2 linked regions of the Danio rerio genome follow. The protein of the gene in region 1 binds, or shares a complex with, the protein of each later gene. Links are inferred from orthologs where the notes say so. Each region holds a gene or a part of one and is shown on either strand. Other genes may lie near its edges. The genes, in order: ston2 and eps15.

What was found.
Region 2: the proteins of ston2 (region 1) and eps15 are in contact, whole or in part, in an NMR structure (PDB 2JXC), measured with the Homo sapiens proteins. The link is inferred for Danio rerio from reciprocal best matches to the Homo sapiens genes STON2 and EPS15. Residues at the interface, in NP_001353779.1 of Homo sapiens: Trp309, Arg310, Ala311, Thr312, Asn313, Pro314, Phe315, Glu318, Gln321, Asp322, Gln324, Pro325, Ser326, Ile328, Asn329, Pro330, Phe331, Phe334, Phe335, Glu337, Gln338, Glu339, Arg340; in NP_001972.1 of Homo sapiens: Leu139, Gly148, Lys152, Pro153, Val154, Leu155, Leu156, Asn157, Ser158, Lys159, Val162, Asp163, Leu165, Gly166, Arg167, Trp169, Glu170, His176, Gly178, Met189, Val192, Tyr193, Leu196, Glu197, Lys198.

What each region holds. Positions count from the first base shown.
Region 1 is NC_133192.1:18,060,548-18,064,379, forward strand, and holds part of ston2 (stonin-2), read left to right. Parts: intron 1-843; coding exon 844-1,046; intron 1,047-3,832. UniProt on the Homo sapiens protein: Adapter protein involved in endocytic machinery. Involved in the synaptic vesicle recycling. May facilitate clathrin-coated vesicle uncoating.
Region 2 is NC_133183.1:18,336,839-18,340,770, forward strand, and holds the start of eps15 (epidermal growth factor receptor substrate 15), read right to left. Parts: upstream 2,729-3,932; 5' UTR 2,711-2,728; coding exon 2,684-2,710; intron 1-2,683. UniProt on the Homo sapiens protein: Involved in cell growth regulation. May be involved in the regulation of mitogenic signals and control of cell proliferation. Involved in the internalization of ligand-inducible receptors of the receptor tyrosine kinase (RTK) type, in particular EGFR.

The sequences.
Region 1 (3,832 bases):
GAGTCTACATTGTAAACAGAGATTTTTGATTTAATTTAAACCAATTAAGGTCATCATCCATATAAATACAAATTTAAATTAAGACATGTGGAGTATGCTGATTTTAGTCAGATTTTTAAAGTGCAGTACAGACATGCAAACACCGCAATCAAACTAATACCAGCGTGTAGGATTTCCGCTGCATTTTGCGACAGGATATTCTATACACATATGGCTGTTTGACACTATTCTCTGCACCTACAGAGTCGGTAAAGGACCATAGACACCTGCGTTACGAATTGCTGAGGGTTTTTTTTTTCTGATACCACGTGAGGTATCGAATTCCATTAAAACAACACTCTTGCAGCAGTTCATACTCGCATCCAATATCTCGTTTGTCACAAGGGGCATGCATGAAATGTTCCTGAATGAAAGTGAAAGTGTTAAACTGCATTTAAAGTTGACAAAATAAAAATAAAAACACCCGAAATGACATGAAACACCAGAGGAAATGTAGATAGTGCAGTGACAGAATGACGTTAATCAAATTATGTGCTTTAACATGTAAAACTTGATCATGAAAGGAACTTTAAGAAAGCAACTCATGTAAACACCTTAATCATATGATTGTCTTATTCAGATAAAGGCAAATAATTTGGTTACTGATGTCTGTGTAAACATAGTGACTGACTGTGAAATCAGATCTAGATAAAGTGATATGTCTTACAAGGCCAATTCTATGATGATGTTAAATTTCTCTGGTCCTGTGGGTTAGGCTAATGTAAAACTTCCTCTAGTAATTTGCATGAAGTGGTTATAATTGCATACATTCCATTAATGTGGTTGTGGTGGTATTTTTTGTAGCGCTGGGTCATCCTCATACATTCTTCTGCCGTTTGGAGCTGGGCTCAGATTGGGAGGTGCCGCCAACATTTGAATGCGTGGTCGAGGTGGAGTTTGACATGCCTTCTGCTTCTGCGTCCAAAGCCGCTGTTCGCTCTCTGTCTGTGGGGGACAAAACTGACTTGAAGAAATGGATCACCTACAAATCGCATTACTCCTATCAGGTATTCTGTGTGTGTGTGAAAGTGAGAGAGAGAGAGAGAGAGAGAGAGAGAGAGAAGGAAGTAGTAAAATATGCTTCATTTCACTAAAGTTGTCCTCTAGGCAAGGATGAATTATGTAAAAGTAACACACTATGTTCCAACATCCAGAAAAAGGCTATAAGCCATTCTACATTGGGTTACATGTTTTAATTAGGACATTTTTAAATGCACAGTTCTATTACCAGTTCAGTTTCCAGAATCATACTTGCATAAAGCATCAAATATATATATATAGCAACAGGCCTAATACGACATATTATAAGACTCAAATATGGAAATAATATCAGATGGTAACTTCGGTCAATTTTTCCCAATAGATAAACAGCTCTCTGTAAAATTTCATCATGCTTTCACTTTCTTTTAAGACATGAAACACACATTTACCAGTAGGAATGACATCCTGCCCTACTCTCTTACAAATAACCATGTGACTATTATACAATGTGACTATTACAAAATCATAATACACTGTGATATAGACTGGGTCGTTAGTTTCTTGGACTGATTTGTTTTCTCACTACAATCGATCCGCTCAATCTAGCAGAGACCACCTCATTCAGGCGATCTCGGATCGATTGATTTGGAACTGCGCAAATAAACGGGGTAAACGAGATAAACTCTGAAACAATGTTTATGTGTGAAAGCACCCTAAGATTGTATTTGCACGCAATTGACATATAGACGCAGCCAAGGTAAACTTTTTGTGACAAGGCAGCACTGCCCCTATCGGGCCAGTAACCACTCTGTCCACTGGCCCGAGCGTCTCGTACACTATATATATATATATATATATATATATATACACACACCGCTGCTGTACATTTTCATGTTAATATTACGGTAGTTTATTCCACCAAAACCCCAGTAAAGACATGGATTATTGCAAAACAAGATGGAGATTTCATTCCAGCAATTGCAGGGCACTGAGGGCAGGGTATGTTATTTAGGTTCTTCTGGATTTTATATAAGTGTGTTGGTGTTTTTATCTGGTTTTTATATAACACATTAAAAAATAATACACATAACTAGGCCTGTATATAACCTTTATTAGCACTGGCAATCAAATAACCGCATTCAAAAAGATTTTTTTCACATAAATATATTGAATCAATGTTTATTATTTGCTGCCTTCTGTTTTTAATCCAGTTTCTTGAACTTTCCCCCCCTTCATGAGTTAAAACTTTTGGAAGTCTATAAATTGACTTTCATTCATTCATTCATTTTTTTGTCGGCTTAGTCCCTTTATTAATCCGGGGTCGCCACCGCGGAATGAACCGCCAGTTTTTACGCAACGGATGGCTTTCCAGCCGCAACCCATCTCTGGGAAACATCCACACATACATTCACACACACACACTCATACACTACAGACAATTTAGCCTACCCAACTCACCTGTACCGCATGTCTTTGGACTGTGGGGGAAACCGGAGCACCCGGAGAAAACCCAAGCGAACGCAGGGAGAACATGCAACCTCCACACCGAAACCCTAACTGAGCAGAGCCTCGAACCAACGACCCAGTGACTTTCTTGCTGTGAGGCAACAGCAGTACCTACTGCGCCACTGCATCCCCCCTAAAATGACTTTTTTTGGCATTTATTATTTTGGCCAATTTAAACAATTATAAAGAACACAAAACAGAAACATTTTTATCCTCTGACTGTGTTTCCTATGTAGAAGAACCACTTCCTGCGCTCCATCTGAGTCTCAGTCTCACACATCATCAGTGACGTCATGTGAAAACAATCTGCAGTATTAATTAGTTTTGTGATCCTTGAATAGGGTCTTAATCAATTTTAATAATGTCATTGTTCTAAATTGGGCTTAATTTTCTTTATACTCTACATTGGTTGTGTAACTTTTTTTAAGCTGTTTGATAGATTTTATAGCTTTGATACTTAGAGTATCTTCATCTTCCTCACTGACACAACTTACCCCTCCTCCCACAGTGATTAAACCTATATTTATGTCATATTATATTCTATACATCTGTCCTTCCCCTCAAAATTACATTTTAGAAGCCTGCTAATTTAATTAGCCTATTTGCTGGTGATTTTCAAGCCCCTCAGGCTGGGGCTGAGTTAAATGTCATGCACCCTCAGACAAAGCCACCGAAAGACAAGTTGTCCCCCTGAAGCGAGCTGCTGTTTCAGCTGCCAGAGCTCGTTTTCCCTACTGCAATTCAAAACATGTCATTAAGGTGGCTGGAGCTTCTTTCTACAAACATCTGTTCCCATTACTGTTCAGCAACCACAGGGAGTGATTCATCACCGAGCAGAGGTGCGCAAAAACAGCACAAGATGTAAAACTCTGCCTGTAACCTGCGTATAGGAATGAATGTAAAGCTGCTGATGAAGCATCTTGCTGTATTTGATTAATGCATTGTAGCAGGTGTCTGAATGCCTGTGAGGTCAGCCAATGGAATGAGCTTGTTCAGAAAGTTTAGTCTGGATCAGAATTTTCTAGATTTGGAAATCTTCAGCCATCTTACTTTTGTGTCAGTTCCGTATCAAGTAAAATTGGATTAGATGACAGTGATTCAGATACAAAACACTTATTCTGATTTCCAAATCTGGATCACTAGTACTCTAAATACAATTACAATTTATGCTACTACATTGTAGAAAATTAGTTGCTACCTTAAATGTTTAAGTTGAATCAAACTAGTTTACAAGTCATCTTAAATTAAAACCATAAAGGGCACCTGATTGACCCCTTTTTCAAGATTTACGATTAGCCTTTTGTGT
Region 2 (3,932 bases), on another chromosome or scaffold:
ACAGGTTGAGCCCTATGTGTGCACGTGCCTGAATGGCAGCACAAAATGTTTTATATACAAAAATAGACGACCATAAAATATCACTAATTAAAATATAGGCAAAATATTCACATGATTCTTCCAGATAAGACTCCAAAAGATTTTTCAAAACATTTAGAGATGGAATTGTTTCAAACATGATAACACTCTGCATTTCATTCCATAATGTAGGACCAAAGGAGGAAAAGGCTGTTTAACCAAACCCCATACACACTCTAGGAACAGTCAAATGTAATAACAAGTATTATAACTACAAGTATAATATGATTAAAGGTTTATTTACACAACATCACAGATGCATGTTTTTGTAAAAGCAACATTCTGATTGCGATAAATGTTTTGTGATAGTGGGATTCCTTAAAACAAAACTATTTCATGGCTGCTTCCAAGTATTTATATTTGCCGTGTGTACACGTTCAATACTCGTTTTAGATTTTTTTTCACATTTAATTTTAGAAATTAATGAAATTACAATTATGAAATCAAACATTTTTGTTATCTATAGATATTGCCATTATAACAACACCAGGTTTAAGGTTGCACTCCCTTTTTTATCACCCTTTTTATTACCCAATGGTTTTTTATCTATACCAAACTTGAACAGACTAGAAGAATCAACAACAGAACAATGTAGCAATAAGAGAGACATTTGGAGTATTATGGCCTCAAATATGAGAAACATGCAATAACTTAATATAGCCGAGCAGAAAACAATCAGTCACATTTAATTTTTAAGATAAAGGCTTTGTGACTCAAATACATAATTCTGCTTTTGAACAATTCCATGCAAATGTCCACCTTGCCATGAAAAAAAATAAGTTTTCACCAAAATATGGTAACCATTTCTACAGTAAGTGTTTTGTGTAAGCAAGTATTTTACCGCACTTTAGAAATACTTAAAAATCTCTCTCATTGTTTTTAAACTATAATAATTGATTTACCAAAGTCAACTTCACATCAGTCACATCCATAACGACACACTTTTTCCGCATAAATGCAAAAATATTAAATAAAATAAAATCAATTATGTTTGTTCTAGAGAGCCAACTCTTATACTTTTGACTAGCATAATTTCTTTTGGAATGTGCCGTTTAACTCACAGAATTTCTACAAAGTATGTTGTATAACTCAGACATCCTTTTTTGGTCACGTCCACAACGCATGTTTATTTCCCTTATTTAATGTATTAACATATTTACAGATTGATATTTTTCTGATCTCCTAACTCTGGTCAGTTGTTCTGGAAAATATAAACATATGTTTCAATATAATGTTAACATATATATTTTCTTTGTAAATTTATGTTTTGAGTTTTTACTGCAAATGTCACATCCATAACGCTGGAAATGCTCTTTTACCTCCTGTTTCCTTGCAATAAGTTCTTACCAAACCTATGCTCTTTGGCTGCACAGAAAACACTAAAGACATGACAGATGTATGTCCTTCTCCTCCTAGTATTCTCGATGAGCTAATGCTGAAATGCATATTTCATGCATGTGTGCTTTGCTTCTAAACTAAGAGCACCATCAGCTGCATGTGGTCAACACTACAACCACCACTGCCATTAAAGAAACGTCTTATTCTTAAAGCAATAAAAAAGACAAGATGCAAAGTGAGGAGCATTTCAGACCATCAGTTCAATCAATGCATAATTCCCTGTGGACTAGAAAAACATGCATCTAGAATGCACATGCAGTCAGATATTATCTATAAATGTCACATTAATATTTGCTCAGAACATGCAAAGAGCACATAGGAAATATGTTCCTACTTAAATGTTTAGAGATTTTTGGCACTTTTTGACTTATATTACTCAACTATAACCTTTTTTGAAGGTTGACCATCAGTTTAGCCAGCTAGCGGGCGAGTGTCAAAAATGCTTTAGCTAGCAGGCTAACTAGTTTAAACAGTCGAAAAGAATCCCAAAAAAGTTGTTACGAGTAGAACAATAAAGTTTATAAAATAAAAATACACACAATAAATGTAATTCAGACGTTTTGGACTATATTAGCACCAAACAATGTCTAGTTCCTATTTTTAAAAGGATGAATAGAGAAACACTGAGCTAGCAGTGCAGCAAAACTTCCTGCTGCTTTACAATGCCACTATAAACAGACTGCCATATACTAATACATTACACACCACTAAACCAAACCCAATGTATGTCAAAAAATGGCCTTAATACGATCATTTAAAGGTCATTGTGCCATAAAATGAAGTCGTAATCATCACTGCAGCTCCTCTTTCAAGTTTTCAACGACAGTTTTACAAGAACCTCCACACGTCCATATGCGAGACATTTTAAAGAAACATGACCTTAAAAAGAAAACAAACAAAAGTTGCCACTTTAGATGAACAGCAGCTACGAAAAAAGCTAGAAAAAAAATACATGTAAATCCACCCTAGTTTAACACTGACACACTAAGCTACGCCCTAACGCAAGTCCCTAAAAGATCACACTGAAACTTTTTCTCTCCACAAGCAAATGGCTGAAAACAACTTTAAACAGCTGCGACCAGACAGCGGGCTGTGATCGCTTTCCGCCCTAAAGCGCACATTTAAAGCTCAACAGATCTGGTAAACCCATTAGAACCGCTGGAAAGTGGCCTGAAGAGTGCTATATTTGTGTAGAAAGGGAGGTTACCTGAGTCAGGGAGAGACTGGCAGCCATAGTGTTTCTGTTCCCACTAGTTCATCCTGCGTTGCGATAGGCAATGGGCAATATAGGTATGCTACAAAACCTGGCACTGGAGTCCTTGGTGGATTGGAGCAAAACAAAACCCGGCGGTGCATTGTTCGGTGGATCTGTTGGTGATGATGGGACAGCCAATGACTGGTGATGGCGCCTTACAAAATAGACACTGGAATAGAGTTCTTAGTGGAACAGGAGGACATAAAATAAAACACGGAGAGGGAATACCTGGATCAGGAGATGAAGAAGTGGTGAACTAATGCGAGATCCCTCTTTTTTTCACGGATATTTTTTATTCATGAGATTTTCAAGCAATACTAATAATAATAATAATGATGATAATATTAACAACAATAATATTAATTATAATAAATGAATATAAGGAAGAGTAATTCTAGGATTTTTATTTTAGAAGGGCTCAAACCTAATAAGGGTATAATAATAATAATAATAATCATAATCATAATAATAATAATAATAATAATAATAATAATAATAATAATAATAATAATAGGTGGCATGGTGGCTCAGTGGTTATCACTGTCACCTCACAGAAGGTCGCTGGTTCAAGTCGTGGCTGGGAAAGATGGCATTTCTGTGTGAGTTTGCCTATGTTCCTGTGGGTTTCTTCTGGGTGCTTTGCTTTAACCCCACAGTCCAAACATGCGCTATAGGTGATTCGGGTAAACTAAATTGTCCGTGGTTTAAAGGTGTGTGTTAATGAAAGTGTATGGGTGTTGTCCAGTACTGGGTTGTGGCTGGAAGGGCACTCGCTGCATAAAACATGCTGGAACAGTTGGCAGTTCATTCTGCTGTGGAGAATCCTGATAAATAAGGGACTAAGCTAAAGGAAAATTCAATTAAATTCAATTCATCTTGATTTCCATAGCACTTTTACAATGTAGATTGTGTCAAAATGAATGAATAATAAATGAATAAACATAAGAGGAGATTCTACTTACATTTTAGAGGGGCTCAACCCATATAAGGGTAATAATAATAACAACAACAATAATAACAACAATAATAATAATAATATAAAAATAATCATAGATAAAATTAAAAAATAACTAATAGGTTAGGTTGTAAATAAATTAATTGCATTATGGTAACATTGAGTATTGATTACTGAATAAGCAAATACAAGACCTGTTTACTGTGCTATCCACTGTAAATTTGACTTTGCATTTCTATGCTCAAC